Linked DNA regions of Cricetulus griseus. The protein of the gene in region 1 binds, or shares a complex with, the protein of each later gene. Links are inferred from orthologs where the notes say so. Each region holds a gene or a part of one and is shown in the gene's direction. Other genes may lie near its edges.

What was found.
Region 2: Prmt5 (region 1) and Wdr77 share a complex: the UniProt entries of both Homo sapiens proteins name them as parts of the methylosome complex. The link is inferred for Cricetulus griseus from reciprocal best matches to the Homo sapiens genes PRMT5 and WDR77.

The regions. Positions count from the first base shown.
Region 1 is NW_023276807.1:209,723,951-209,739,201, reverse strand, and holds Prmt5 (protein arginine N-methyltransferase 5), read left to right. Parts: upstream 1-2,321; 5' UTR 2,322-2,367; coding exon 2,368-2,477; intron 2,478-3,079; coding exon 3,080-3,198; intron 3,199-3,464; coding exon 3,465-3,550; intron 3,551-4,541; coding exon 4,542-4,676; intron 4,677-5,139; coding exon 5,140-5,252; intron 5,253-5,377; coding exon 5,378-5,427; intron 5,428-6,723; coding exon 6,724-6,887; intron 6,888-8,016; coding exon 8,017-8,178; intron 8,179-8,607; coding exon 8,608-8,685; intron 8,686-8,774; coding exon 8,775-8,833; intron 8,834-8,916; coding exon 8,917-9,039; intron 9,040-9,122; coding exon 9,123-9,298; intron 9,299-10,232; coding exon 10,233-10,342; intron 10,343-10,560; coding exon 10,561-10,654; intron 10,655-10,827; coding exon 10,828-10,944; intron 10,945-11,229; coding exon 11,230-11,294; intron 11,295-11,988; coding exon 11,989-12,141; 3' UTR 12,142-12,704; downstream 12,705-15,251. UniProt on the Homo sapiens protein: Arginine methyltransferase that can both catalyze the formation of omega-N monomethylarginine (MMA) and symmetrical dimethylarginine (sDMA), with a preference for the formation of MMA.
Region 2 is NW_023276806.1:51,035,654-51,050,662, reverse strand, and holds the end of Wdr77 (methylosome protein 50), read left to right. Parts: intron 1-1,277; coding exon 1,278-1,419; intron 1,420-1,685; coding exon 1,686-1,735; intron 1,736-4,229; coding exon 4,230-4,300; intron 4,301-4,422; coding exon 4,423-4,477; intron 4,478-4,953; coding exon 4,954-5,025; intron 5,026-5,659; coding exon 5,660-5,768; intron 5,769-6,290; coding exon 6,291-6,359; exon of another isoform or gene 6,360-6,419; intron 6,420-6,514; exon of another isoform or gene 6,515-6,651; intron 6,652-7,069; coding exon 7,070-7,229; 3' UTR 7,230-7,820; downstream 7,821-15,009. Other genes in the region: Ovgp1 (oviduct-specific glycoprotein), read left to right, coding at 10,042-10,069, 14,286-14,315, 14,703-14,907. UniProt on the Homo sapiens protein: Non-catalytic component of the methylosome complex, composed of PRMT5, WDR77 and CLNS1A, which modifies specific arginines to dimethylarginines in several spliceosomal Sm proteins and histones.

The DNA.
Region 1 (15,251 bases):
CTGTAGTTCTCCAATCCCGTGGCGTGGGCAGGGCGGTGCAGAGTGGAATCCTTCCAAAAAGTATAGCATGGAAAATTGTCATCGGTGGAGCCACTTGCTCTTGTAGACCAGGCTGGTCTCAAACTCACAGATATCCACCTGCCTCTGCCTCCCGAGTGCTGGGATTAAAGGCATGTGTCACCAGCGCCCTGCTTTCTTTCCCAGTTTAATCAAAAGAAAAACATGAGACAAGTTCCAACAGAAGGGCATTTTAACATCATCAGAAGTAACAATCATTAGGAACAAAGAACATCTGAGAGATAGTCACAGTCAACTGGAGCCTAAGGACACATTCGACTAAATGTGATGTGGTATCCTGCATAAGATCCCAGAGAAGCAAGCCGGGCGTTGGTGGTGCATGCCTTTAATCCCAGCACTCGGTTGGCAGAGGCAGGCGGATCTCTGTGAGTTCCAGACCAGCCTGGTCTCCAGAGCGAGTGGCAGGACAGCCTCCAAAGCCACAGAGAAACCCTGTCTCGAAAAAAAAAAAAAAAAACCCCAAAAAACAAAAACAAAGATCCGGGAGCAGCAAAAGGGGGGGTGGGGGGTGGGGGGTGGGGGTGGGTGGGGTGAAGGTGGGGGTGGGGGGTGTGGTGGTGAAGGTGGGGGTGGGAGTGGGGGTGGGGGGTGTGGTGGTGATGGTGGTGTGGTGAAGGTGGGAGTGGGGTGGGGTGGTTGTTGGTGGGGGTGGTGGGGTGGTGTGATGGTGGTGGTGGTGTGATGGGTTGTTGTTGTTGGTGAAGGTGGTGTGATGGGTTGGTGGTGGTGGTGGTGAAGGTGGTGTGATGGGTTGCTGTTGTTGGTGTGATGGGTGGGTGGTGGTGGTGGTACAAAAGCATCCTCAACCCCTCATTGTGAATTTTCTTGGTTTTCTGGTTTCCTGGCTGTTCTTGGGGTGCGGGGTGGGGGGGACTTACGTTACCCAGGGTTCCTTAGAGCCTATTTTCTCCACGCCTTCCTGTGTTGCTAAGAGCACTGTCCTCCATAATCCATGGTGACCTCACTAGTCAAGACTCCTGTCTGGAAACGTCCAAATACGTGTGGTTCAGATCATTGTCCCTGCAGCTCTCTATCACACGGCGCTCTCTGGATGGCCAGTCTGCACCCCGAACCCCAAATCCGATTCTCCCTGAACTCTCCCACTTCAAGGGCAAAACGCTGCTGCGTGGCATTACTATTTCCCCCTCCCGGTTCCTTGCTACCGAGTCCCTGAATTCTGTCAGTGCCTTTTAACTTTTTTGTTTATTTGTTTGTTTGTTTGTTTTGTCAAAGCTGACACAAGGCAGAGGGAACTTCAGCTGAGAAAATGCCTCCACAGATTGGCCTGGAGGGTCCTCAACGTCTGTGGGCTTCTTGCCTCAGGTACGTGTTTCCCGTTCCCTTCCGAGGTTCTTCCTTGCCTGTGCCATTTCCTTCTTTTCCAGCTGTTGACAGGGGGAAACGTAGGTTCTCTCGGCCCTCCGCGAGGCAGTTTCATGACTCCTGGGCACTGTAATCGCTCATGAATTCCTTTTCTCTGAGGGGTGCGCGCGCGGGCAGGTGTTTCTTTACATCTGTGCTTGAGACAGAATCACTAGGAATTAGTGGCTAAGTTACTACAGAGTATTTTTTAAGTGTAGTATTTTTTAAGCATAGTAATGAGACAAAGCTCATCTTAATAGTCCATTCACCGAAATTTTCATGCTCAGATTCACTTAATTATACAAGAAACAGCTTTGAAAAGAGGAATGAGACACGCCAGCATGGGATGGCTGAAATACCGAACCAGGTTAAGACCTGGAAATGACAGCGTAAGCAGATAGTGAAGGAAGTACAGCGGTTGTGAGACAAGAGCAAAACGTTACAGGACTAGTGGGGTTTAGGAACACTGGGTTAGCAAGGGATGCAAATAAAGGAGTACCAGTCCCAACGAGCCAGCCAGGAGTCGAACCTGGAATCTTCTGATCCGTAGTCAGACGCGTTATCCATTGCGCCACTGGCCCGCAGACATTTTGTGGTAGCCCAATGATAGTACTTCAGGCTAACTGCAGGGTTGCATGGGACCTGTAGTCTTTCTCCGGAGTGCTTCAGACGGATGCGGCATTCTGGGAGATTGCAGAGCCTCAGCAGTGACGGCCTGTCATTGGTCGAGCCGGGGAGCCACGCCTACGTCACGGTGCGGCCTGTGGATTGGCGGGAGCGGCCGCTCGGTCCCTCCGCCTCCGCTCGGGAGCTGCGAAGACGCTCTGGTTGTTAAGGCGACTTGTCCCGCCTCCCGGGGACTGCTCTCGGCGTTGTGATTGGTCCCTAGTAGCAAGGAATCCCGGCGTGGGCCGCGCGAGGGAAAAGATGGCGGCGATGGCAGTCGGAGGTGCCGGTGGCAGCCGCGTGTCCAGCGGGAGGGACCTGAATTGCGTCCCCGAAATAGCTGACACACTGGGTGCTGTGGCCAAGCAGGGGTGAGGAATGCGGGATCCAAATTGGGGACCAAGGAGGGCAGACTAGTTCCCCGCAGGGGATGAGGGCTGGAGACACCATTACTCCTTGAGTGGGGACGACTTCGGTTCCAGGAACGAGAGGATGAAACTCTGGGAGGCGTGTGGTCACCGAGTTCAAAAGTCAGGGGAGTTGTTGGGTAAATTAAAGGCGGGACGCGAGTCAGTCCGTCTAGGGCCTTGGAGGCTAAGATTATTTGAGAGGAGAAAGAAGTATTTTAAGGGGGCAAACGAGAGAAGAGGTTAATCTGGCTGGGGGAGGCATGGCAGTATTGGGACAAATCTGGATTTGATAGCCCTGGAAAGCCAGTGTTATCAGGGAAGAAAGAATGCTATTTGCCTTGGATGTCCTTCTTTTCTCAGTCATCTTTCATGGCTATGTTTTGGGAAGAAATTGATGCACAGTGCAGAGAAAGTTAAATGTCCCAAGATGGGCTGAACTCAGTAGCCCCGGGGGGTGACTGATGGCTTTATAGAACTGTGCAAAATCAAGATAGTTTAAACCCAGTTGGTTGATCTCTGGGTCCTCACTTTCCATGATAATTCTGAGTCTGTCGCGGTTGTAGGTTTGATTTCCTCTGCATGCCTGTCTTCCACCCGCGTTTCAAGAGGGAGTTCACTCAGGAACCTGCTAAGAATCGACCTGGCCCCCAGACACGATCAGACCTACTGCTGTCAGGAAGGGGTAGGGACCATCCCGTGTGCCCCTTGATTGTTAGAGGCAGTAATAACTTCTGCTTTATAGGTCTTCAATTCCCTCCTTTTCTGACTTGGTTGTACTGGCTAACCCCTGTGATATAGGTAACTCCCCCATTCTTCAGGCTATCCCTGTATCTGAGAGAAAAAGGCTTGTTTTCATCTCTACTCTATTTCCTGCTGAGAACTAGAAATTGAGCAAGAAAATGCCAGACCTCATTGAGTCTTTGTCTTTTCTTGGGTGGGGGAGTGCAGACTGGAATACGCTAATTGTGGGAAAGCTTTCTCCGTGGATTCGTCCAGACTCCAAAGTGGAGAGGATCCGAAGGAACTCTGAAGCGGTAAGGCTGTTTGGTTTTTCTGTGGGGTCCTTTTTTTTTTTTTTTTTTGGTTTTTTTTTCGAGACAGGGTTTCTCTGTGTAGCTTTGGAGCCTATCCTGGCACTCGCTTTGGAGATCAGGCTGGCCTTGAATTCACAGAGATCCGACTGCCTCTGCCTCCCAAGTGCTGGGATTAAAGGCCTGCGCCACCAACGCCTGGCTCTGACCTAGGTCTGACCTAGGTGCTGTGACCCACCCCTACCTGTAACCTCAGTGTTGGGGAGGCATTCCACACCGGAAGATAATGAGGGAGGATTGAGAGTTCCAAGCCAGAAAAGAAAAGGAGGGTGGGAAAAAAGGAAAGAAATTAGTTCTGTCATCAAATTGGGTTAGGAGAGTAACTCCCACTCCCCAGAACCTGGTAAATCAGAGTACAGTTAAGAGTCTGACCCTGGGTGTGGTGACTCACATCTGTAACTCAGCAGAGGCCATCCTCGAACTGAGTTGGATGCCAGCTTGGTCTACAGAGAGAGAGTTCCCGGCCTGTCAGGGCTACATACTAAGACCCTATTTCATTCCAGTTTTAATGTATGTGCTGCTGAAGTGAGCATATGATCCTGTTGCCCTCTTCAAAACAAAAAAAAAAAAAAATAGTTTGAGTTCAAGACTAGCCTGGTCTACATAGTTCTAGGATAGTCAGGACTATGTAGACAGACCCTGTCTCAAAAAGACAAAAATAACTGAGCAGTAGTGGCATCCGCATTTAATCCCAGCACTTGGGAGGCAGAGGCAGGCGGATCTCTAAGTTCGAGGCCAGCCTGGTCTACAAAGCTGGGTTCCAGGACTGTGGAGGCTGAGTGAGGAGGATTGCCTCCAATTCAAGGCCAAATTGAGTTACATAGGGAATTCCTGACAGCCTGGGCCACAATACCAGATCCAGTTTAAACTCCTCTCTACCCAGGAAGTATTTGGTTCCTAGTTCTTAATGGCTTTTTCTTTCCATGTGTTTCAGGCTATGTTACAGGAGCTGAATTTCGGGGCATATCTGGGTCTTCCAGCTTTTCTGTTGCCCCTGAATCAGGAAGATAACACAAACCTGGCCAGAGTTTTGACCAACCACATCCATACTGGCCACCACTCTTCCATGGTAGGCTTCTGTGCTGCTGAGTATCATGATAGTCAGCTGTGTGAAGTGACTTTTGCCTAGTTATGCCCCAGTGCTTTTGGCCGAATTGAAATGTCAGTACTGCCCATCCCACCCAACCCCCAATTTTGAAGTGGCATGGAGAGAGCTTCAAGCAGAATCTATGGGCTTAGAGGTGCAGCTCAGTGGTAATCACTTGCCTAACATACATGAGCCTCTGGGTAAGAGTCTTAGCACTATAAAACAATGCCAAATCATAGAAAATGCTTGTTTCTAGCTAAAATAAAAGACAAGGGAGGTATTTGCATAAGGATGTGTATAAGATATTAAACACGGATGTAATCAAATTCAGAAGGGCATATAAAGAGATTAACTTGAGATCTGGATCAAGATCTTTTGAGGGAAGCTTTCTGGACCCAATTAGTTGAAAACAGTGTTCTAACTAATGGTAACTGTTCATATGCAGTTCTGGATGAGGGTGCCCTTGGTGGCTCCAGAGGACCTGAGAGATGATGTCATTGAGAATGTCCCAACTACACACACAGAGGAGTACAGTGGGGAAGAGAAGACGTGGATGTGGTATGTCTCCTCTTGGCGCTTTACCTGTATGGGGTGGGGTAAGGAATATTGAGGAACTGGTAGAAGAGCTCCTTGAGTCATAAGCCATATGCATTTGACAGTGTTTTGTTTCTGAATCTGGGCAGGTGGCATAACTTCAGGACTCTGTGTGATTATAGCAAGAGAATTGCAGTAGGTAAGTGCACAAGGGTCCTGGGATAGGAGGAACCCCGTAAGAGTAAGAATCAGCAGGCTGGGTGCGGTGGCCCACCACTTTTCATCCCAGGGCTTGGGAATCAGAGTCCAGTAGATCTTTTTGAATTCAAGGCTAGCCTGGTCTACTTAGTGAGTTCGAGGATGGCCAGAATTATGTAGACAGACTCTATCTCACAAAACAAAGCAAAACCCCCAAATAGCCAATCGGTGGTGGTGGTACACGCCTTTAATCCCAGCACTTGGGAGGCAGAGGCAGACAGATCTCTATGGGTTTGCGGCCAGGCTGGTTTACAGAGTTCCAGGACAGCCAAGGCTACACAGAGTGACCCTGTCTTGGAAAACAAAAACCAAAAATAAGAATTTCAGTTTAGAAAGTTCCAGAACAGTCAGGGCTACATAGAGAGACTGTGGTTGTTTTGTTTTAAAACAAAAACAGCCAGGTGGTGGTAGTTCCAGCCTTTAATAATACAGGAACTTGAGAAGCAGAGGTAGGCAGATACCTGTGGGTTCAAGGCCAATATGATCTACAGAGCTAGTAGTTCTAGGATAGCTAGGGCTGTTACACAGAGAAACCCTGTCTCAGAACAAACAAACAAAAAATCCAGTAATTTCAGGCCTGGAGCAATGGCTCAGTTGAGAGCTCTATTGTGAGGACCAGAGTTCAGATACCAGCACCCACATTGATGGGCTCACAACTGCATATTTACTCTGGCTCCCGAGGATTTGATGACTTCTTCTGGCCTCCATGGGTAACTGCACATACATGCACATAAATAAAGAGAATCTATAAATCTAAAAAAAAAAAAAAAGGAAGATCAACAATTTGGGGGGGGGATGATGTAAGGCAATTGGCAGAGCACTTGGCTTGCCTGTATACATGAAGCCCTAAGTAAGATCCATAGCACACATGAGTAATGGCACATGCCTGAAATCCCAGCACTTAGGAGTATCAGAAGTTCACAGGAAGTTTCAGTACTTACTGGGCTACTTGAGACCCACTCTGAAAATAGAACTAGCACTGACCATTCTATTTTCATGCACCTTTAATCCCCAAACGAGAGGTGGAGCTCTGTGAGTTCGAAGCCATCCAAGACTATACAGTGAGAACCTGTCTGAAAAAGGGGACAAAGAAATGAGTTCTGTGTGTGTACTGGGTATTTTGGCTGCTTTCCCTGGGCTCAACCACCAGTTTTCAACAGAAGGAAAACGCTTGTACCCAGTAAGACAGGGCTGCCTGCCTAACAGCAGGTGATAGGCCTTTTTCTTGTTTGTGTAGCTCTTGAAATTGGGGCTGACCTCCCATCTAATCACGTCATTGACCGCTGGCTTGGAGAGCCCATCAAAGCAGCCATCCTCCCCACCAGCATTTTCCTAACCAACAAGAAGGGATTTCCTGTTCTTTCTAAGATGCAGCAAAGGCTGATCTTCCGACTCCTCAAGGTGAGTGAGTGGCCCAGTGGAATCTCCTAACTTACTTGTCCATGACTTCTTTTCCCTCTGGAGGAGGGTCAGGTGACTTTTGGAGAAGGAACCAAACTTTATGAGAAATTTGTTAACATAAGTATTTAAAGTAAAAGGTTGGGTATGGTGACGCACACTTCCAGCACTGGAAGGCAGAGGCAAGCAGATCTCTTGAGTTCCAACTCAAAGTGGCCTTTCAGGCCGGCCAGGGCCTGTTTGTCTCAAGGCAAACAGGCAAACAAGTAAGAAATTAAAGGTCCTTGTGTGGGGGAGTGTGAAGGTCCTTGTGTATGTATAGGGAGTGTGAAGGCCCTTGTGTGTTTACAGGGAGTGTGAAGGCCCTTGTGTGTGGGAGTGTGAAGATCTTGCACTTACAGATCACCAGAGAAGCCAGAAATGTTAGGCATGCAGGATTGTCCTTTCTAGGGGAAGGACGGAAAACCTGTTTATCTATTGGGCCAGGCCATATCAAGTCTCCACAACCAGAACCGCAGGTGGCTAGTAGTCTAAATGACCCTTACATTAGCTACATAGCCAGGGGCTTCCCCCAAGCTCCCAGATGTGGCTAGTAGTCCAAATGACCTCTATGCTAGCTGTGTGAAGGAGACCATGCCAGAGCCTTTCTTAGGCCCTTAAGCTAGTACAGGTAGCCTATCTCTAGAACCAGTCTTCTTGGAAGAAATGACAGATACTTTGAGTTTTGTGCCCTGGGGATTGTATTATAACAGGAAACTTTTTCTTAATTTTTACTGTGTTTAAATATGCTTGACAATAAACTGCCTGGCATCAGACTCTCAAAGTTTGATCCAGCCTAAGCCAGGCTAAGAGTTTTCATTCTTATCTCTTTGTGCATCGTTTCCCTGCCTGCCATGACACCTGCAGGGATCCTCTCCCTTGTGGCATCCTCTCCTTTGAGTCAGGATGATGCTTAGGCAGCTTATATAGCATACAAGGACTTCATAGATTTTTCAGAGCCCCCTTTTGGGGGAATTGATGCTGGAGAACTATTGGTGTGGGTTTTATTTTATGTTTAGGCTTTTGGTCATAAACCATAATGTCTGAGAGTCATGGTTGTGGCCTGGGTCTCATGATCTGACTTCTCTCACAGTTGGAAGTGCAGTTTATCATCACGGGCACCAACCACCACTCAGAGAAGGAGTTCTGCTCCTACCTCCAGTACTTGGAATACTTAAGCCAAAATCGTCCTCCACCCAATGCTTATGAACTCTTTGCCAAAGGCTATGAAGACTACCTGCAGTCCCCACTTCAGGTAGGTTTGGAGTACATTTACAGAGTTGAGAGGAGGGACTAGAGAGGTTAATCAGCAGTTAAGAGTGCTGCCTTTGCTTCCAGAGGACCTGGATTCTATTCCCAGCACCCCCATAGTGGCTCACAACTGTAACTCCAGGCCCAAGAGATCTGATGCTTCTGGTGCCCTTTCCTCAAGCACTGCCTGCGTGTGGTGTGCAGACATGCAAATAGGCAAAAGACCCATACACAAATATTTTTTAACTTAAAAAAAATACCCAAAAAGCCACCATAAAGTAATAATATTAAAACAACAACAATAATAATAGCAAGAGATATCTCTTAGAGAAAGTGGTCCAGGATCCTATTACAATTCAGGAAGCAATGGGAGATTTCGATATCTTGACCATTTCCCCTAACTGGCCAACTTGTTCTTTCCTCTTTTTATCAGCCACTGATGGACAATCTGGAATCTCAGACATACGAAGTATTTGAAAAGGACCCCATCAAATACTCTCAATATCAGCAGGTATAGTGTTGGCTTCAGGGTGGCAAAGCACAGGGTAAGATCAGCGAAGAAGGGATTGTAGCTGTAAGGTTTTCTGTCCTTCCCCCCAGGCTATCTACAAATGTTTGCTCGACCGAGTGCCAGAAGAGGAAAAGGAGACCAATGTCCAGTGAGTGCTTTCCCTATGTTCCCAGGGAGCTCTGCACCTGATTGTCCACCTGCTCAGTTTGCTTGACACTTCCCTTCTCTTAGGGTACTGATGGTGTTGGGCGCAGGCCGAGGCCCTCTGGTGAATGCGTCTCTCCGGGCAGCCAAGCAGGCTGACCGGCGGATAAGGCTGTATGCTGTGGAGAAGAACCCCAATGCTGTGGTGACGTGAGTAGCAGCCTGCTTGCTAGGCAGCTTGTCCTAGGTCCCAGTTTCCAGCTCCGGCTCTTATTCTGTCACCTCTGTTTCAGGCTAGAGAATTGGCAGTTTGAAGAATGGGGGAGCCAGGTGACGGTTGTTTCTTCAGACATGCGGGAATGGGTGGCTCCCGAGAAAGCAGACATCATTGTCAGTGAGCTTCTGGGCTCCTTTGCTGACAACGAGCTGTCGCCTGAGTGTCTGGATGGAGCACAGCACTTCCTGAAAGGTTTGTCCAGGTTGGGTGCGTGAGGCAGTTGCTGGTTGGTCTGGGAAGCAGCCCTGGGAATTGGACTTGTATCAGATCATACGGCTTTGAACTGCTGCTAGCTAGATTGTCGGGGGGCTGGAGAGATGGCTCAGAGGTTAAGAACACTGACTACTCTTCCAGAGGTCCTGAGCAACCACATGGTGACTCACAACCATCTATAATGAGATATGGTGCCCTCTTCTACTGTGCAGGCATAATGGAGGCAGAATGTTGTAAATATAATAGATTAAATAAACAAACAAATAAATAAATAAATCTTGAAAAAAAAAAGAAAGAAAATTATGTCAGATAGCAAAACTTCTGAGAGCTGTAAGTGGATAGACTAGAGATCCTTTACCTAAGGTCTGTGGGCTCCCTGAGTTTGTATAATATGCATGTACTTTGAGGGCCAGGGTAGGACTTAGCCATAGAGCTTTTACCTAAAATGAGGCTCTGGGTACAATCTCTACCATAGGAGGGTACTTGAGCTTAATGTTCACTGGGAACTTTCATGGGGTGTTATGATCCCCACAAAGTTTCAAAACCACCAGATAAGAGTGCTATCATGCCTTGTCTAATGATATTCACCAGCAGTGGGCTTTGTCCATGTGGTCCCATAGGATTATGTCATCAGGGACACCACAGTCATCTTAGTTTATGTAAGGACTATTGTTTTCACATAGTAGTTTAACATTCATCCCAGAATTTGTTGTGTTGCTAAGTAGTGCATGACTCTATATTACATTTTAATCTGTGGCACTAAATTAACTTAAGAGTGGAATCCCTATGGGGCATCATCCAGTCTTCCTGCCACACCAATAGCAGCCGTGGCTTGTATTGATTGAGCCTGCAGTTAGTGCGAACATGCCATTTCCTTCCCTCTGGAAACTGATTTGACCCTATTGCTCTGTAGATGATGGTGTGAGCATCCCTGGAGAATATACCTCCTTCCTGGCTCCCATTTCTTCCTCTAAGTTGTACAATGAGGTCCGAGCCTGTCGGGAAAAGGATCGTGACCCTGAGGTAAAAAGCTGCTTTTCTGGAAAGTGGGGATATTCTTTAGTCGCCTCTGTCTTCTTCCTGTGGAACAGATGAAGAAGTGAAAGAGAAGTTGGGACTGAAGAAAGTGGTTGAAGTGAAGCAGAGATTTTGTTTCTTTGATCCTGGGGTTTCTTTGACCTCTGGGGAGGTTGGTACCTCCTGTCTGTGTTCTCCAGTTCCTGCTTTCTCGCTCTGTACAGGCACAGTTTGAGATGCCTTACGTGGTTCGGCTGCACAACTTCCACCAGTTGTCTGCACCCCAGCCCTGTTTCACCTTCAGCCATCCCAACCGAGGTAGATTGATGCATGGCCATCCTGACTGAGAAGGGCGTGAGCTGTCCGCTTCCTCCCCTTGCTATCCCAAGTCTGCGCATCTTAGTTGACTTGTGCTAGATCTTGTTCAAGTTTTACCAAGTTGTCTAGGGTTTCTGGCTCCCCTTGTCATCCACCCCCGTCTTTCCTAACAGATCCTATGATTGACAACAACCGCTACTGTACCTTGGAGTTTCCTGTGGAGGTGAACACGGTGCTGCATGGCTTTGCAGGCTACTTTGAGACTGTACTTTATCGGGACATCACTCTGAGTGAGTGTCTGGGCCAGTGTATGAGGGCATCGCAACAGGGGTGACCTTTGTTCAGTCTATACATTCTTGGGACTGCTCCAGAAAGCTTGGCTTGTTTGTGGAGCTTTTGAGGCTGAGGCTGAATATTAGTTGGTATTACTTCAGGACCAGCACACTAATTTAGTGGGAGCCCAGTGTCAGGGACTGGAGATCTTTGATTCTTCCTTGTTATGGTCACAGAAGAGACTTCTCAACAAGGTAAGAGGGAGAGGGGAGACCTCAGGTTCCACTGTTTTGTCTCCACAGGTATCCGTCCAGAGACCCACTCTCCTGGGATGTTCTCGTGGTTCCCCATTCTCTTTCCCCTTAAGGTAGGAATCACCTTTAAGGCAGTAGGCTCAGGGAACACCTGCTAGTGGTATTCTGTTCCTGTCCCTCAGCTAGTTGGCTGTGACCCCTTTCTGCTATGTCACTTGCTCTGGTTGGGGTTACCTAAGTGACTTAACCTGGACTCCCCACATCTCTGACCACTCTTGTCCAGTCTTTACCTGGGTCAGGAATCACTTTTTACAACTCTAATTTGAATTTGCCTCACTACTTACACCCTTCAGTGCCTTCCCACTGCCCTTAGGTGAAAATCTGGAATAGTGTTATAAGAGTTAGTTTGGTAGATTTTTCCTGCCTCCCAGCCCTCTGTCTCTGCTTTGCTCATCTCGACATCCTACTAACTGACCTAGGTTTCCTGGAACATTCCTACTGTCAGCTCATTTTCCAGGCCTCCTAGAGTAGGTTGGCTTATTGTACATGCTCATAGCATTCACTACCCTTTGTTCACTGTCTGAGTGCTCTATATTTTGACACAGTAGATAAGTTTTATGAAGGTCAGAATATTTCGGTGTTTTTATCTTTTGTTGTTTGATTTGGTATGGGGTTTGGAATTATGGCCCAAGTTGACTTTGAATTCCTGATCCTCCTGAGTGCTGGGGGTTAATAGGTTTGTACCCTACACTTGGCTGTTTATAGTTTATCAGCTCTACCTGAACCTCCCTGTCTTTCCTATTACAGCAACCCATCACGGTGCGTGAAGGCCAGAGCATCTGTGTGCGTTTCTGGCGATGCAGCAATTCTAAGAAGGTGTGGTACGAGTGGGCGGTGACAGCACCAGTTTGTTCTTCTATTCACAACCCCACTGGCCGCTCCTACACCATTGGCCTCTAGTGCTGTGTGCAATGCTGAGCCTTGGAAGCGCTTTGAGTTCTGTTCTTACAGCACAAAAGGTGCAGAACAGCTCCTGGTACAGTTTATCTGTGAGACCCTCACCCGTCAGAGAGGAACGGTTCAGTCTGCTTTCCTACCTTGTGCCATGGTGGGCAAGGGGTAGGCATTCCAGGACTGCCAAGCATGGTGGTGCACACCTCTAATCCCAGCACTCTGGAGTCAGAGACAGGTGGATCTCTGTGAATTCGAGGCTAGGCTGGTCTACCTAACAAGTTAGACCCTGTTTCCAAAAAAAAAAAAAAGACGGGACACAAGCCACCAATCTTCAAAGGCCTCTGGCTAGGGCATGAAGAATTAGTAGTGCTGGATATAAAGCAACATGAACAGGTACTCAGCCTTCAGAGCAGGGGTCAGGAGAAAAAAGAAAATATTTGAGGAACAGCCCCGAGAACATGTGCATTGAACAAATTTCCAGCCTTTTCCTTGCCTTATTCTGTTGTTTTTTGGATGGTTTTGTGTAAGAAGGAAACAAATAAAGTGAAGTTATGGCCTCTGCTGCTTTACTCTGCTGTTCCCTGCCTGTATCCCTCCATCCACTTAATCTAGGCATGTTCAGGTTTGTGCTCTTGCCTTACATGAGAACCAAAGGACTTAAAAAGCTGAGTGAGAGCTGGGGGGGGGGGTGTTCAGTAGTCCAGCATGGGGTACTCAGTGGTAACCTGTGAGGTCCTAAGTTGAGTCTGTCTGCCATATCCCACCCACATTCCCTCCCCAGGACTTCTAGATGTAGACTTTTTCTGACTGGTCCATTAAATCCATTAGTCTATTCTCTATGAAAGACTAGTGGCCTTTGCCACTTCAGGGAAGCATGACTGAGGCTAGCTAGCTTCTGCCTGCCTTAGATGGATTGCCAAGCTTCTCCAGCGAGTAGTTAGTCCAATTGTCCATTTTACAGAGGGGAAATTTGAAGTCGGTACAGTGAAATGGCATTGGTACTGACTTTGGCTCTCTAAAAGCCAGGAACTTTGAGATAGTGCAGGATTGGGCAGCTGAAGTCTCCAGGAGTTTTGGAGTGAGGGTTGGCCACATCAGTTCTTTTAGAAGAGAATACTTACTGCAGTATCTGTATTATCTGAGGAATAGTCTCAGTTTACCTTTGCAGTAGGGGGTCATGTGGGGTGCTGATAGGGATAGCAGTGTAGCCTCGGAATCTGGCAATAATTTGAGTGATGGGGGATGCCCTTCTGTTTGCTGTAAATATATGTTTCTCTTATTGGTTGACAAATAATGCTGTTTTGGCCAATGGACAGGTAAGATGTAGACAAGCAGAGAGTATAGGTGGGGCTACCAGACTAGGAGAATTCTGAGAAGAGGAACACAGTGAGTTGCCAGAGAGTGTCATGTAGTGTCATGTACCAAGAAGATAGAATGCCAAGCCATTCTCTGGTAAGCCAAGAAAGACCATGTGGAGATACATAAATTAATAGAAATGGGTTAATAATTAGGAGCTAGCTAGCCAATAAGAAGCCTTAGCCATTGGCCAAGCAGTTTATAATTAGGATAAGCCTATGTGTGTTTACTTGGGACTAAATGACTGGGACAGAAGTCCTAAGTAGTGAGGTCTGGAGGGTTAGGTAGCTGCCCACTCAGGATGGAGGTGTGGGGCCCTCAAAACCATCTCCAAGAAAACAGATCCTACACTCTTCAAGTCAGTAGGTGTGGTCACGGACATCCTTTGTTGGCTCTGCCCAAGGTGTTCAATTAGGTACCATCAGCATCTATATGGAGGGAGTAAGTGAGTCTTTCCTCCCATCAGTTTCCCCTTCCTTCTGCAAGTCACTTAACTAAGGAATGAGTGATGAACACCTGCCAAAACACCTACCAGAGCACCTCAGATGTGCTTGGCCCAGGTCATGACTTCACCAGGTGCTGCCATCATCCCTCAAACACCAACATTTTGTAAATTCTTCCTGAAGTAGCCGACTGGCTTTTAAGCATTTCTCTGCCCCTTTGGCAATAAGGACTTATTTTTAAGTACAGGCACTGCTTTGACTGTGGGTGGTTAATGTGATTTTTGGAGCAGGGATGGAAGAATAGCCTGCAGTATTTAGTGGATGGGATTTAATGCCCCTTGAAGGACTGGAGAGGTGGCTATCAGTTAAGAAATCTAGTTGTCTTTTTCAGAGAACCTGGGTTCAATTTCCATAGTGTTCACAACCTCCCATAACTCTTGTTCCAGGGGATCTGTTGCCCTCTTTGGAGCTTCATAGGCAGTAGGCACACACTTGGTGCACAGACATGCAGCCAAAACACTCAGACACATGACTAAGGGATCTTGACCCATAAGTTAGGGCATTGAGAGGTCTTGACAATTACCACCTTAAAATGTATAATATTTAGAACATTACTGATTTTAGAACTTCTAGAAAAACACAACTAAACCCAATGAAATTGTCAGGCCTGGCAGGGTGAGACTGAGGGAGGAGGACTGATTCAGTCCCGGAGTTCAGGGCTATAATACACTCTGCCACTGATCACCACAAGTTCTAGCATCAATTTGGTGGTAACTTCCTGGGAGTGAAGGACCACTTGAATTGCTTAAGGAGGGACAAGCAACAGAGTGGGTCAGTGGTAGTTTGAATGAGAATGGCCTCCATAGGCTCATATATTTGAATACTTAGTCCACATTTGGTGGAACTGTTTGAAAAGGATTAATAGGTGTAGCCTCATTGGAGGAGAGTATCATTGGGGGTGGGCTTTGAGGTTTCAAAACCCCATACTATTCCCAGCTAGCTCTCTCTGCTTCCTATTTGTGGATCAGAAAGTAAGTTCTTAGCTACTGCTCTAGCCCCATGCCTGCCTGTCTACTGCCATGCTCCCCACCTTGATGGTCCTGGACTAACCCCCTGAAACTGTAAGCCCCAATAAATTATTCTATAAGTTGTTTTGGTCATTGTGTTTTATCACAGCAATAGAAAAGTAAGTAAGACAGGTTCAAAATTCCTTTCTGATTAGTAGTGGGGGCTGTGCTGTGAATAGCCACTATACTCCAGCCTGGACAACATAGTAAGACACTATCTAACCAAAACAAAACAGAACAAAAAAAAAAA
Region 2 (15,009 bases), on another chromosome or scaffold:
TTGAGGTTGTTCTGGGAATTGAACCCAGCCACCTTGCTAGGCAGCTGAGTGTGAGGCTGAGCAATGTAGACCTTGGTGTTAAAAAAGAGAAGAAAAATGAAGTTGGGGGGGTGGGGGTGTGAGAGTGAATCTTGGACACATTAGGTGTGAATATGATCAAACTACATTGTGTGCACATAAATTCTCAAAGAATCAAACATTATAATCAAATCACGTTGAATGAAAATTACATTAAATATAATTTAGAAGTTGGTGGGAGCTGTGTGTGGGTGCTGCCTATCTGAGCAAAAGCAGCAGATCTGTGAGTTGGAGGCCAGCTGTTCTACGTAGGGAGTTCCAGGCCAGCCAAGGCTACATAAGGAAACTCTGTCTCAATGAAATAGAAACATGTATTTTGGGTCCCGAAAGATTACCTGGTGGTTACAAGGGCTGACTGCTTTTTCCAGAGGACCCAAGTTGGATTCCCAGCACCCACATGCCACTAACAACCATTTCTAACTCCAATTTTGGGGGAATTCGGTGCCCTCTTTTGGCCTTTATGGGCACTGAATGCATTTGGTGAATTAGCCATGAAGGCAAAACACCTATACACTTAAAAATACCTCAAGTGTGTGTTCATGTGCGCGTGCGTGTGTTTTGGTCTTTTGAGACAGGGTTTCTCTTTGTAGAACTCTGCAGACCAGGCTGGCCTCAAACTCAGAGATCCACCTGCCTCTGCCTCCCGAGCATTGGGATTAAAGGTGTTTGCCACCACACTGTTGTATGTCTATCTGTATTCTTAAATTAGTTAGGGCTTGGCAGTTGAGAAGTAGGACATTGGAGATTGAGCCTCTCTGGCAGTCTTGAACATTAAAGTATTGCAAGGCATTTTTTAAGCAGTCTAATCAAATATTTATTAGTGTCTGAACCACTGGAAAGATATACCTCACTCAACTGTGCTGTGTAAGGCTTTATCTTTGTCTCCCTGGGAACCAATTTCCCAGTGTCTTTCCTCTGGAAGCAAAATAATTGCTATTATATCGATTTCCCTGTCTTTTTCTAGGAGATTTCCTCACATAGTCATCTGGGCTGTTGTTAGGAAAGCAGTAAGGTAACAAAACCAAATGGCCTGGAAGTGAGCTAAGCCCTTTAATGATGTGGTCTTTGCTTTTACAGGAACAACTTTTTGTTGACTTTGTAGCAATGCCTGCTTGAGTCCTAGGCATGAATTGCCACCTTGGTCTAACCCAGGCTTGTGCTTCCCCCACCTACACTTCACTCCACTCTGTCCTCAACAGGTGCTGTTGAATTGTGGGAGCTAGATGAGAATGAGACACTTATTGTCAGCAAGTTCTGCAAGTATGAGCATGATGACATTGTGTCTACTGTCACTGTCCTGAGCTCTGGCACACAAGCTGTCAGTGGTAGCAAAGACTTCTGGTGGGTTCCTGTTTTCATTACTCCCATCTCTAGGCTTCCTGTGGGTATCTTTCTATCCTCTTTAATTTCATTAAGTAATGTTTGGGGCTGTTTTTAGAGTCTAGTGAGTAATGGCATGTCTGTTTCCTTATTGGTGTGCATTATAAATAAGACAACAGGTTCTAGGAGGCAGATAGGGGACATGTTAGTTAAACATGTTCCTGTTTGAATCCATTTTTATGTTGATAGTGCAAGTCAAGATTCCTATTTCTTTTTTTGCATTGTAGCATCAAAATTTGGGACCTGACTCAGCAGATGTCATTGAATTCATATCGAGGTAAATATTCCTTCTTGATTGATACTGGCTATAGTTATCTTTTATTTCATCCTTTGGGAACTTTGAACTTTGTTTGGATAAGTCTGTGTTCTCTTGGTTGGCTTCTCCTTACCCCTAAACTACAGTCAGGGTCCTTTATTTGCTGCCTGTCATTTCCTCTGTTCCTGTTTTTGTTGATGGTGTCACAGCCTTTTCACTACTTGGGTGACTTAATTTATTGCTGTAGAACACCACCATGATCAAGGCAACTTGTAAGAAAAAGCATTTAGTTGAAGGCTTGCTTATAGTGTCAGTGGGTTAGCCCATGACCATCACTGTGAGGAGAATGGGGGCAAGCAGGCAGGCCTGGTGCCTGAACTAAGCAATTACATCCTAATTCACAAGCGTGTGCATGGCATGGGCTTTTGAAACCTCAAAGCCCGCTCTGAGTGACACATCTCCAACAAGGCCACACATCCCAATCCTTCCTAAATAGTCCACCAATTGGGAGCCAAACATTTTAAACCACAGTGGCCAACAAAGTCTATCTATCTTCTTCTTATACTCGGGGTTCATCGGGTTCTTTGAGTCTCCATTTGGTCACTTCCCTTCTGACCATTTCTAACATTTTGTTTACCATCAGGCTTTATCCGTAGATAGTCTCACTCATCTCTTTGCCTGTCTTCTGTGACTCTTGGTGCTTCATTTGTTTCTTGTGTCCTGCAGAACAAGATTCCATTTTCTTGTCATCATTGGAGCTTTATTATGACAATCGGCTGTGCACCAGCTTAACTCAGACACAGCAGAGCCTTGTCCTTCTCAGTCTCCCCCTGGGTGTGTGTGTGTGTGTGTGTGTGTGTGTGTGTGTGTGTGTGTGTGTGTGTGTGTGTGTAGTGGAGACCAAAGGTCAACGCTGGAGACACCTACTCTGTTTTTCAAGACTGATTCTCTCACTAGGACATGGAACTTACAGATGAGGCGGGGCTGACTGGCCAGGGAGCCACAAGGGTTCAGTTTTCTCTGCCTTCCCAGTGTTGGGCGTATAAGCAAGTGCCACCATAACTTGACTTTTTACATGGATTCTGGGGTTGAATTCAGGTCTTCATGCTGGTATTGAAAACACTTTACTGATTGAGCCATCTCTCCTCCCCAAGACTTTTGAATCGTAAATCTGTTGAATTTTCACCTCTATAAAACATCTTCTCAGGGCATTTCATCACTTTCTTTAATGTTCTTTTTACTTTGCTTCATTAACACAACCAGCATTTGACTTTAATTTGGTAGCAATTATTTATGAATTTTGAATTCATGAAGATGGATAGTGAGGATAGAAGGATGGAGAGACATTTAGTCCTTAAGGCAGACCATTCTGAGTACTCTGGAAGAGCTGGTTAAATGACCTCAGTGATTTCTTCAACCTCTACCTAGCAGTGATTTTTTTTTTTTTTCACATGTAGACTTTCTAAAGGATTTAAAAGCTATACCCTCCCACATATTTTAAAAATTGTTAATGAAGAGATCTAAGTAGGGGAAGTGAGATGCTTTCTTTGGTGAGTAAAGGTACTTGCTGCCAAACCTGGAGACCTGTGTTTGATCTTTGGATTGCACCTGGTGGAAGAACAGAACTGACTCGTGCAAGTTATCCTCTTACCTCCATGTGTGTGCTGTGGCACATGGGCACACATACACAATTAATAAATATTATTAAAAATTAGGTAGTTGACAAGAGGTTAAGTTTTTGTCATGTTTATTGTTACACATTTTTTTCTAAGCATGTGTTTTTCAGTGTCAGTAACCTGCTTACAGAAACTGTTTACAAATAACCTAATGACGAAAACCAGTTTGTTCTGTTAGCAACATTAGATTTCACTTTCTTTTACAAAAAGTCCAGCTTGGTTTATTAGTTCAGATAAGCTAATTGGTTATGTTCTTCTGACAACCATTTTATTTTTCAGTTTTCACTGAAACAGGCAAGTCACAGAGCTGCCCTTGTATTTGTGGGGTGACTGAGACAGGTTCAGTCCCTTCTCTGTTCTCCTTTGAGAGCCTTAGATGTTCAGGCTCTGAATGCTGGCATGGGAAGCCCTGGGCTGGAAAGGAGGTATGCATTCTACCTCTAAAGTGGGAGAAGCAAAGCTCAGGCAGTTCATTTCACTCTCAAGGGAAAGCATATTATAATACTCACATTGCTTAAAACATAGTGCCAGAACTCTCAGATTTTTCTATGCAACTTAGAGGCCTGCATCTCCATTATGGAAACTGTTACTGAGTCAGTAATGGCCTTTTCCTTTGAAACATCCATACTGCAAATTTCCTTCCCCATTCTTACTAAGCCTGTAATTGGACTTCATTGTCCCTACCAGTTCATCATTTTCCGGAGCCTCTTCAGGTTTTCTAACTATCAGCTTTCCCTCTGGTTGTAGTTTATAATCTGTCATATTATTTATTGACTGACATGATGAAAGCAGGCCTGTTTCTGACATTCTCTTTTTTCTGCCATGTTTCTCCTTTACAGCTCATTCAGGACAGGTCACCTGTGTTGCTGCCTCTCCCCACAAAGACTCTGTGTTTCTTTCATGCAGTGAGGTGAGATCTAGTCACTTCTTTCCAACCATAGTTGAACATTCATAGGCCCAAATCCCTGGTGTGGAGACTGGCCAGCAGCTGTTCTTTGGATTATGAAACCCTTTTTTTGTTCCTCTTCCTAGGACAGTAGGATTTTGCTCTGGGATACCCGCTGTCCTAAGCCAGCATCACAGATGGGTGAGTCTGAGACCAATGGTGAGGAGAACATGGCAATAGGAAGCCAGTTGGAAGAGGCTGTCTTTGCCCAGAGTCAGAGCAGAGTTGCCAGATGCCCACCCTCTGTGACGTCATTTTCTGTCTCACTGAGGCTCTGCTCACCATAGTGCAATGAGTACCAAGGGGAAGGGCTAGCTTCCAGGTGGGTGGTTACTCTGCAGAGAGAGACAAAAGGACTAGGGTTATTATTGTTGTGCTTTAAATGTATACCCCCAAATGACAGGAGACTGAATAGATGTAGGTCATGAGGCTCAGGGATGACGACATGCTTGATTGCCCAGGTCATGAGGCTCAGGGATGACGACATGCTTGATTGCCATAGCAGCATTTAAGAAACCCAGTCAAAGTGTTCCCAGGACTTTGTGACTTCTCTTGAAGAACTGCTTCTTGTAGGTTGTGGCTGCTTTTGTTCCAAACCTCCCTTTTGTCCTTTCCAGGCTGCAATGCTTCTGGCTACCTTCCTACCTCCCTGGCTTGGCATCCTCAGCAGAGTGATGTCTTTGTCTTTGGTAAGGCAGCATGACATATGGACTCTGAGAACGGGAGGATGGGAAAGCGCTACCTTCGAGGTGTACACACTCTTGTCAACACACTTCAGCACTACATGAATTAGAGCAGTTTTGTTTAGCTTTGGGGGACATAATTTTTTCCTAGTAGATTGGATTCCTCATGGATCCAGCTCCCTTATTCTCGGCATGATTAGAAATCATTGGGCCACTTAGCAAGCAGCTTTGCTGTTTAGGGAATTATGTGGGTATGACTGCATATGGTAACAGCTTGTAGTTAAAGTAATAAGTATCCAGTAATTGTCACAGCACACAGTAACTTGCTTATCCTACCTTACAAAAGGAAACTGGTGCTCTGGGTGGTGAACTTGTCCATATCTCGAGGAACTAAGATTCATGCAAATCCAGGACTGGCATATCAAAGCCTAAGGTTTTTGTTGTTCTTTTCTCTCCTAAGACAGGGTCTTTCTATGTAGCTCTGGCTGTTCTAGAGCTTATTATTTAAATCAGGCTGGCCTTGAACTCAGATAGATCCTCCTGCCTCTGCCTCCTGCATGCTAGTATTAAAGGCGTGCTTGACTGTGGACAGCCTGAAGTGTATGTTCTTAACCATGGTAACATGCTGTTTCTTCAACAGGTGATGAGAATGGATCTGTCTCTCTTGTGGACACCAAGAATGCAAGCAGTACCCTCAGCTCAGCTGTGCACTCCCAGTGTGTCACTAGGCTGGTATTCTCTCCACACAGGTACTGTTTGTCATCAGGGGTTTGGAAGGGATGGGTTGGGCCAGTGGTGAGGGGTAGGAATGGAGTGATAAGGAATGTATCTATTGGCACAGCATTAGCTGGTTACATTGTTCCTTAGATGGAACAATGTAAGTACTCGAGCTTGGTCTTCCTAAGCTAGTCAGTACAGTTCTTATTAGGGTTGCATAGTCTAAAAACAGCTGAAATGTGATCTCATACCTGTTCAACACAGCTTGATTGATGTTAGGCTTCTGGCACCATGTGCTTAAGGAGCCTGATTCTGGGTAATTGCTAATGTAGAGAGGGACCCATTGGGTAGTTGGTTACCAGGGTGGTTTCTATGAGTACTGTCTCTGTTCCATTTTTATTGGAATTATAATGGCAGGAAGACCTTAACCCAAAGGTGGGTATCAGGCTGCCTTTTCCCCTGGCTCAGTTTATGGTGAGTTTGGGGCTGGTGCAGTCAGATTTTGGTTATGGAATCTAGGCTTTATCTTCTCTCCCCTTTGTTCCCTCTCCTAGTGCTCCCTTTCTGGCCTCTCTCAGTGAAGACTGCTCAATTGCTGTGCTGGATTCAAGCCTTTCTGAGGTGTAAGTTTGAAGTAGAACCCTGTGGTTAGGAATCAGGCATCAAGACCAATGGGCAAGCAGGTCTGTTTTGTCTTCAGGAACTTGCATGTAGAATTCTTCCTTTGTTGGGACTGGAGAAAAGCTCAGTAGTTAAGAATACTTCCTTTTGTTCCCAGCTTCCACATCCGTCTGCTCCCAGCTGTCTGTCACTCCAGATCGAAGGCATGTGATGCCTCTGCTTCTGTGGGCCTCTGCACTTGGGTGCACATACCCACTTACACATTATTAGAAATAAATAGAAGAAAATTCTCCATCTTTGTCTGTAGAGGTTCTCTCCATTTGTGTCTGTGTGTCTGCAGAGACTGAACACTGGAAGCAGTCTGATTGTAGGCTAAGTCTAGCTAGCATCCCAGCTTCACGGAGGGAACCCCTGCTGTGAAGTGAAACCTGCTATAGAGAGAAAGGCATGGGAAGGAAGACCCCGGTGTACATCTCTCTCTGCTATGACTTCCTGCTTGGTTGTAGATATACTACTTCTTTGCTCTGCATACTATTTCTTCCCCTAGGAAAGTAGACTGGATTGGATTGAACATCCACTGTCCTGGTGATAAGCTGTACAAATGGTGAAATGTTTAAAAACAATGTGTCCTGATTATGTTAGGTTTTCTTTCTGTCTTCTTCCCACCTCGGTTTTTGTGTTATCTCTTACCACACACCCACTTTTGTTCCAGGTTTAGAAGTCGAGCCCACAGAGACTTCGTGAGAGATGCTACGTGGTCTCCACTTAACCACTCCCTCCTTACCACAGTTGGCTGGGACCATCAAGTCATCCACCATGTTGTGCCCATTGAGCCTCTCCCAGCCCCTGGACCTGAGAATGCCTCAGAGTAGAATGGATTTCAGAAAAAAAAAAAAAAAATAGCCCTCCACCTGCAAGAATCTGCTTGCCTCTGCCTCCGTATTGTGAGAGCACAGGAAGGAGCCTTGTAGAGCATGTTACTCCCTAGTCCCGTGCAATAAACAGGCAGACTCTCAGCCTGAGGGAGGCTGCAGCCCATAGTGTCTAGGAGGGAAAACTTCCTTTATATAAATGGGTATATGTGTTCGAGAGAGCACATGTGTGTGAGTGTATTAAGTAGTTTGGGGTGGGGAAAATTATTCTTCAGCTTTCCCAAAGCACTGCTCTTTATTTCCCACAAAGTGAGAACAGTTTTATGCTTCCCAAGTCCAAGAATTGGATATGTTGTCTGGGATATGGAATGTGAGTATCCCTAGATTTGTGGGAGTGGTTCCACCACTCAGAGATGGGGTAACTTATTTTTATATAGAGTTTAATTCATTATGGGGAATACTTCAGTCCATAAAAGTCCAGCACAGTATACCTTGAGAAGACACAGAAATACCACAGTTTTGTACAAATCCATGTTAAACTGAATTTTCAGATCCATTTTCTTGGTGAATAAATTTGGCTGTTGCAATGTAGTTCTTGCTCACCCTTTGCCCTCCTCTGTGTTGTATGAGAGAGATGAGTGTTTTCCTGTCCTAGATTTCATAGAAAGTTTTAGGGATGATTGAACATTTAAAGGGGTTTCAGTGAAGTCAGAAAACTGACAGGGTTTCTTACAGAGAAATCTTTGTCATTTTTCCCACCTAAAGATACCCTGAGACCTGATTGCCTCTGGGCACCTTCCTCTGGAGATATGAAGTCTGAGTGCTGTATTTGTGAACTATTAAGATTTAAGATCCATCATTAGGGAAATTCTGAAATACTGAAATGTGAATTAAAGACTTGGGTCATGGCCTTTTCCCCCACCAAAGCTGTTGTTACTTTTTGTCTGCTTTACTTAGGTGAGTCACCAGGATGTTGTCAATTTTACTGCCGCTGTCTGTATTTTACCATTCCTGAAGTAGTTAGTTAAGGGAGAACTTAAACATTTATTTATACTTGGTGTTGGTGGTCTAGCCACTCCATTTAGAGTTCATGATAAATAACTGATTATATTGGAGCTGAGAGTGACTGGTGATAGATATACTTTGGAGTGTTTCAACTTTAGTTTAGGAGAAAGTAGGTAAGTGGGCCTCCTGAATTCTATATTTGCTAGTCATGAGGCTCTTGTTATTACCTGTGAGTAAAACATTTGAATTTGCATGCATGGTCAGCCAGGGCTTGAAAGAATAAGCGTTGGTGGAATCACTCTGCTGCTCAGAGATAAAGCTTGTGTTTTGTGGTCACTTAGGCACGAAGGGCAGATAGTGCATTTGCATGGCCTGTTTCTTAGGCTTAAGGCTGATAGAGGGGGGGAAAAAAACTTAAAGAAAAAAGGCTTAAAAAAACTATGTTAGAAGGTCTAAAATGAGACCAAAGAAGAGAAACAAGTTTTTGAAGAATTGTTACTACTTTTCATTGTTTAAAAATGAAGAGTGGGGTAGATGAGACCACTTGCTACTCTTTAGAGAACCTAAGATTTAAGTTTCCTTTTAGGTCTGTATTGATAAAAAGTAGTTCACATTGACTAATGCTTGCCACAGGTGTGCGAACCTAGTCAAAGCCATAATTAGCAACAAGCATAATCTTGGGACAATTGTATATTATGAGCAGAGAAGATAGTTGAAAATTTAAAGACCTGGAAACAATCAGGAATATAGGGCTGGAGTTGTGGCAGGTCATTCATTGTCTTGAGAATAGTTGCAGTCCTGCAAGGCCCAGTGACAGGGAACAATGGGTACATTTTGCTTGTTAAAAACCATTCAGTTTTCTTCAGGTTAGTGTTACTGTTCAAGTGTCCATTGAGTGACTGCATTTCCTTAGCTTTGATATCCATACTTGGAAATCTGTTAGCCTGACCACCACTTAGCTGCTGATCCCTAGCCCACTAAGATCTAAGAGTTTTTCATAAAGTGTCGAGTGCTTGGGACATGAAACACTGAAGGTCTGTGTAGTCTCAGAAATACCCAAAGTCAGGGCCAGGAGATGGCTCAGTGTGTAAGAGTGATGACCTGAATTCAGTCTTGGACCCACATGGTAAAAGGATGGTACTGACTCTTCAAGCTGTCCTCTGCCCACCTATATGCACATAAATAAAATTTAAAAAGTACCTAAACTCAAAACTTCTTTGGGCTTCTATATTTTTAGTAAATAAGGAAGGACAGGATATTGGGGAAGAGGCCTTGTGTTCTAAAACTCAACAACTTCACAGAGCATCATAACATTGATGCTTTTTAGACGGAGAGTAAAGAGCTCTAGATTTTAAAAAGTGTATTTGGACAGATTGAGTGTCTTGTATTTCCTTTGTGTTTTGATATTGCTTGGCTTAGCTTTGAGTGCACCAAGTAAATATGAATAGAAAAAGACATGTGTATTGTGAAGGCTAACAAAGTCCAAGTGTGGGAGAAGCTAGTGAGCTGGTTATTGCCAACATGGTCATACTGGGGTGGGGGGGGGGCAATTCAGAACCTGTAAATTGCTTTTGTTTGGGAAATGGTAAGCAAGCTCCAGGCTCAGTCTCAGCAACTTCATCTCTAGTCTATACAGTACTGTTGGGAAGTAAGCAAGGCAAGTAGACCACTGTTGGACATTCAAACACATTTTCTTTGTGAGGTTTCCCATAACTGCTGGGATTTGGACTTCCTATGGAAGCATGGATGTTTTAATCTTTAGTGTGTGGCAATAGGACAGGTGTACCCAAAAGAGGCTGAAGGAGGAATGAGCTGCTGGAAGGGAGGAATAACTGGTAAGTTACACAGAACACAATGCATGATCCTACAGTCTTAGCTTATGTTTAGTGTGGTCTTCCACTTACTGTGGAATACTTGTTATAAATGGTAATCTGCTATTCTTTTTGTAATGTCAAAATTCAAAAGCTCTGTAAATAGAGTTTAGTCCCTAACATGGTTTGGTGAAAATCAGCCAATGTCATTGGTTGAAAAGTCACTCAAGATAACAGATTTCATTTGACCCTGTGATGTTGAGTGCCAGATTCTAGGCAAGCATTTCATTTTAGAGGCATTGGGCTAAAAGAATTAAGAATTAGTTTCAAATGAAACTTCCACTTTGGTGGTAGTTCTCTTGTGGATTCTCACCAACTCCATGAAGGTTGTACCTGAGAATACATTTTATGACCACAAGCTAAATTAGCTTCAGGTTCTGCAGTCTACAATTTATCAGAAATCATGACATTGGCCAGGCTTAGAAACATTAAGCTGGGTGTGCCTGGTTTCTGTGGGTGTACATATTCCAAAGGCAGACTGCTTAGCTTTTGGATCTGTAGCTACAGAGGTAGTCATGGCTCTTTCAGTAAAATGCTCAGATCATCAGCCTGGGCTATGAGGGCCTGTCCTCAAAAACAAAACACCCAAAATAAGAAACCTGGAACAATATGCTTAACTTGTAAATCCAGTGTTATAAAGTCTTAAATCATGGTGCATACCTCAAACATGTCATAATAAAAGACAAGGAACATGATGTGTGAAAACATTGCTTTATGTGATAATGCACATTTTCTAGTATAATAACCAATATGAAGAGAAGAGATAAAAGTCCTCATGCTTATCCAGCAATCATCCTTTACAATAAATACTGGGAAGCAGCCTTTACTTTAAAGATGAGGTAATTGGCTAGGAAATGCTCATTCAGGTTTACTGTGAAGCATGGTCAATACTCTGGAATTTTGTATCATTCACACAACTGATTTAACTTAAACATGCTCCTGCAATTCCTCCACAATGTCAGTTTTCAGTGAAACGCTTTGGTCAAAGAAAGGGCTTCACATATGGTCCTGCCTTCATCTCCATTACCAAGGAAATATGAGTGCAGTCATGCTGCTTTGCAGAATTCTTGTTACCCAAGTAACATATATTAGTATATATCTTTCCCTGTAAGAATAGGCTAAGCACTAAAGAACAGATTCTAAATGCCAGTGCATGTGTCACAGAAGCATTGGCTATTTTTTGTTGTTTGTTTTAAAGCAAGAACTGAAGGAATAAAATTGGGGGCAAATGGACCCAGCACATTGATTTTCTATTTAATCCTTATTTAATGTGATCATCAACCACTATGTATACAGAATCAGAATTGCCAGCTTTTTGGCATGGTCATGCCTGGATTAGGCAGAGGTCATTGGTGGCAACCATTGTTCTGTCTTTGCTTTCTCAGCATCCTAGCTACTCCTGTGGATGTGGAGAGATGAGGTGCCGATTGTCAGGCAAAGTATACTGACAACTAGTGCTCCTGGCAGCAGTGTGATTTGAAGGGTGCAAATCTAGCAGGGCATCTCAGCCATGCGTAAGATCTTGAAAGGCAGGAGTCACAGTGGAGGAAGGATGTATTAAAAGGGAACCAGTAGAGCATCAGACCATGAGGGAGCCTGACAAGACTGAGGCCCCAGAAATCAACCTTAGTACCAATAATTTATAGATCAGGTTGCAAAGTCATAGATTCAATAACAAGAATTAGGGCACACAAACAGTGACTGAGAAAAGCAGGGTCATTAGAGTGAAAAAGAACATCGGGGAGTCATTAAACCACAGGGATAAATTATTGCCTTGGGAGGCTTGCTGATCTGCTTTAGGTTAACAGTAGCCCAAAGAATTGAAGATACATGAAGATACATGAAGGACCCCAGGGATGATACAGAGCAGGAAGGGGCCCTGGGGCCTGTTTGATAATAAAGCCAATGCTTTCTCACTGCAACCATTGTGGATTTCCAAGAACACACACACACACACACACACACACACACACACACACACACACACACACCACTCCATTTGTCTTTGTTCTTGGATATCTAAATACATTTCTGGTATAAAAATTTTGAGTTTCTTGCTTATTTCATTCCTTAAGTGAAGGACAGTTGTTCAACAGATTTGACCATTGGGCACTGTGATTTCTTTGAATCCTCCATTGGGATCTGTGTAGCCCCTCCTGTGCGTGTGCAGCAGTGTCTGTCTCAGAGAGAGGGCACACAGACCATCTTTAGATGGTCTCAGAGAAAGAAAACCCATGGATTAAAGCAACAGCTGATGTACAGACTTTTTGTTTTTTAAATATCAGAGGTATTTTCCAGCTTTTTTTTTCCTCTTTCAAGTTTTTTTTTTTTTTAGATTTATTTATTATGTACACAGTGTTCTGCCTGCATGTATGCCTGCAGGCTAGAAGAGAGCACCAGATCTTGTTATAGATAGCTGTGAGCCACCATGTGGTTGCTGGGAATTGAACTCAGGACCACTAGAAGAGCAGCCAGTGCTCTTAACTCCTGAGCCATCTATCCAGCTCCCAGATTTTATTTTTTTAACCTTTGCATTGTTGTTGCATTTAAAATTGGCTCCTGGGTGTCCATAATCATATTCATATTCCTGAGGCTCAGGTTCCATTCTCATGGTTGGCTCATATACTTGTCCAAATGTTTTCTGACGCTTAAAAAGTTTCAGGTTTTTGTTTTTTGCCTGAGGAAATAATGGCTCTATCAACTCCAGGCCCACTAGCCATGCAGGGCAACCAATAGCTGCTGCTCACGAGTGCTGTCCCCTCCCTTACCAGTCCCTCCTGACTACTGTCAGGTGACAGTGAAAGGTCAGAGAACCAGGGGAGAAGGACTAGTGCAATAGCTCTCCAGTCGGACCGCACATTAGACACTGGTCTGAACTCTCTTTGTATCATGTAGAGAACACACTGGCTGTTTTAGTGTGTTTACTCCACCTGTTGACATGAGCAGCCTGGTGAGTATCAGTGTTTGAGTTTGAGCATATCCTGCTCTTCTGGCCAGCTTCCTAATAACATCTATAATGAATTAAGCTCTTATTTTATGCAAGCCACAATTTTCTCACTATCTCTCCAGTCCCTATATATTCCTGGGAGATAAGAATGCTCTATTAGCTCAAGAAAAACAGACTTTCCTTTATGTGTGGAAACTGCAGGGGCTCAATAACTCATCCAAAATTATATAACTTATAAGTGATATAACAGGGATTGCTACCTTGGCTCTAAAGCCAGAATCCAAAGCTGAAGCATCAAAGCTTCATGATACACTGCTTTTCTGATTATGGACATACCCCATCATGCAGTGTTTCTCCTCCACCTCAGCTGTGGGGAGTTGGATACCAGGAAATGGGGCCAATTGCCAGACAAGACTCAGGAACATTGCCCTTGTCTTTGTTATAGCCTGCGGTGAACACTGACTCCCTGCTTGTGTCAGGCCAGGGATGTGGCTTTGTTGGCCCTGAGAACTACAGCTGTTCCTGAGAGGGAGTAGAAGTATTTCTGAGGTCACTGTGACTCTTGAGCCATCGTTTCTGGCATGGCATGTGTGTGTAGCTGGGCTCTCCCCATGTTGCACATGGGCTAGCTCCTATTAAAGGGTCTTGAGCTCCATCCCCATAGCTGCCAGACAGCTGAGATGGGGAGGCTGCTGCTGTGGGTTGGTGAGTATGGTGAATCCTAGCAATGCCACATAGTTAGGGAGATAGCAGTTTACTATTTCTCTGGTGCCCAGTAAAGCAGCCTGAGACTCCGAGTCTGGATGAGGCAAATATGAGATAGATGGAATAAAGAACCAGAGGTACTCGGAGGAAGGGGCCGAGCAGCAATTCTCCAACCTAGTTGTTTTCATGATTGGGCTCCATCTTGGGCCAATTTATTCAGAATTTCTGAGAAGAGAGCTTTGATATGAGTACTTTTGAATTTACAGCCAGAATTGAGAACCCCTTAGCTTGTACATCTGCCATTGTCCCTATGCAAAGTATGAGCAGGTACATTTGATGATTATAGAAAAGGGCTTAGACCAGCTTCACTGTTAACTTTGAAGGAGAGGAAACCAGTGCCTGATGTGTGTCACCATGTGTGTATCTGAGTGTGTATATGGTGCTGAGCTGGAGGGGGCACTTGCTGACTGGGGGTTTATGGGGGCAAGCCACACTGCGCTAGTATATGAATTCCTTTGTTTCCTGCAGGGCTGGTTCTTCTGATGAAACACAACGATGGTAAGGAAACCACCTTCTCCCCTCCAAAGCCAGGGAGATTCTCTGGCTAGGAAATCTCCATTCAGTGTCTCCTGGACCCCTGCCTGTTTTGGCTCCTTGCTCAGAGGTTATTGATCCAATACAATTCAGCACAGGATGCTGGCCACTTGCTGTTTGTATGGCTCAGTAGGTGCCAGGATCTAGACAGATAAGGCATTCTTTCTTCTCTTGGGCCTCAGCAGCAAGGGCAAGGGGTCCAGGGGCATGTGGAGGAGGTGTTGGTATATGTGGGAGGAATGGACTGTTACAGTGGCCTGCTCTCTTTGGCTGTGCTTTCTCTACCCCCAGAAGCCGAATTCCCTCCTTGCCCCATGATCTCTGCTGACTAACCCTTGTTGTCCTTGCCAGGTACTGCCTACAAGCTGGTGTGTTATTTTACCAACTGGGCTCACAGTCGGCCAGGCCCTGCCTCCGTCTTGCCCCGTGACCTGGATCCCTTTCTTTGTACACATCTGATATTTGCCTTTGCCTCAATGAGCAACAATCAGATTGTTGCCAATAATCTCCAGGATGAGAAAATTCTCTATCCAGAGTTCAACAAACTCAAGGAGAGGTATGTTAGATGTGCAGTTAGGCTCTCAGATTTTATAGCTAGAGGAAAATTAAGCCTATTTCCCTTATTACTCTTGAATTCCCCTGATTTCTCTAATCCTAC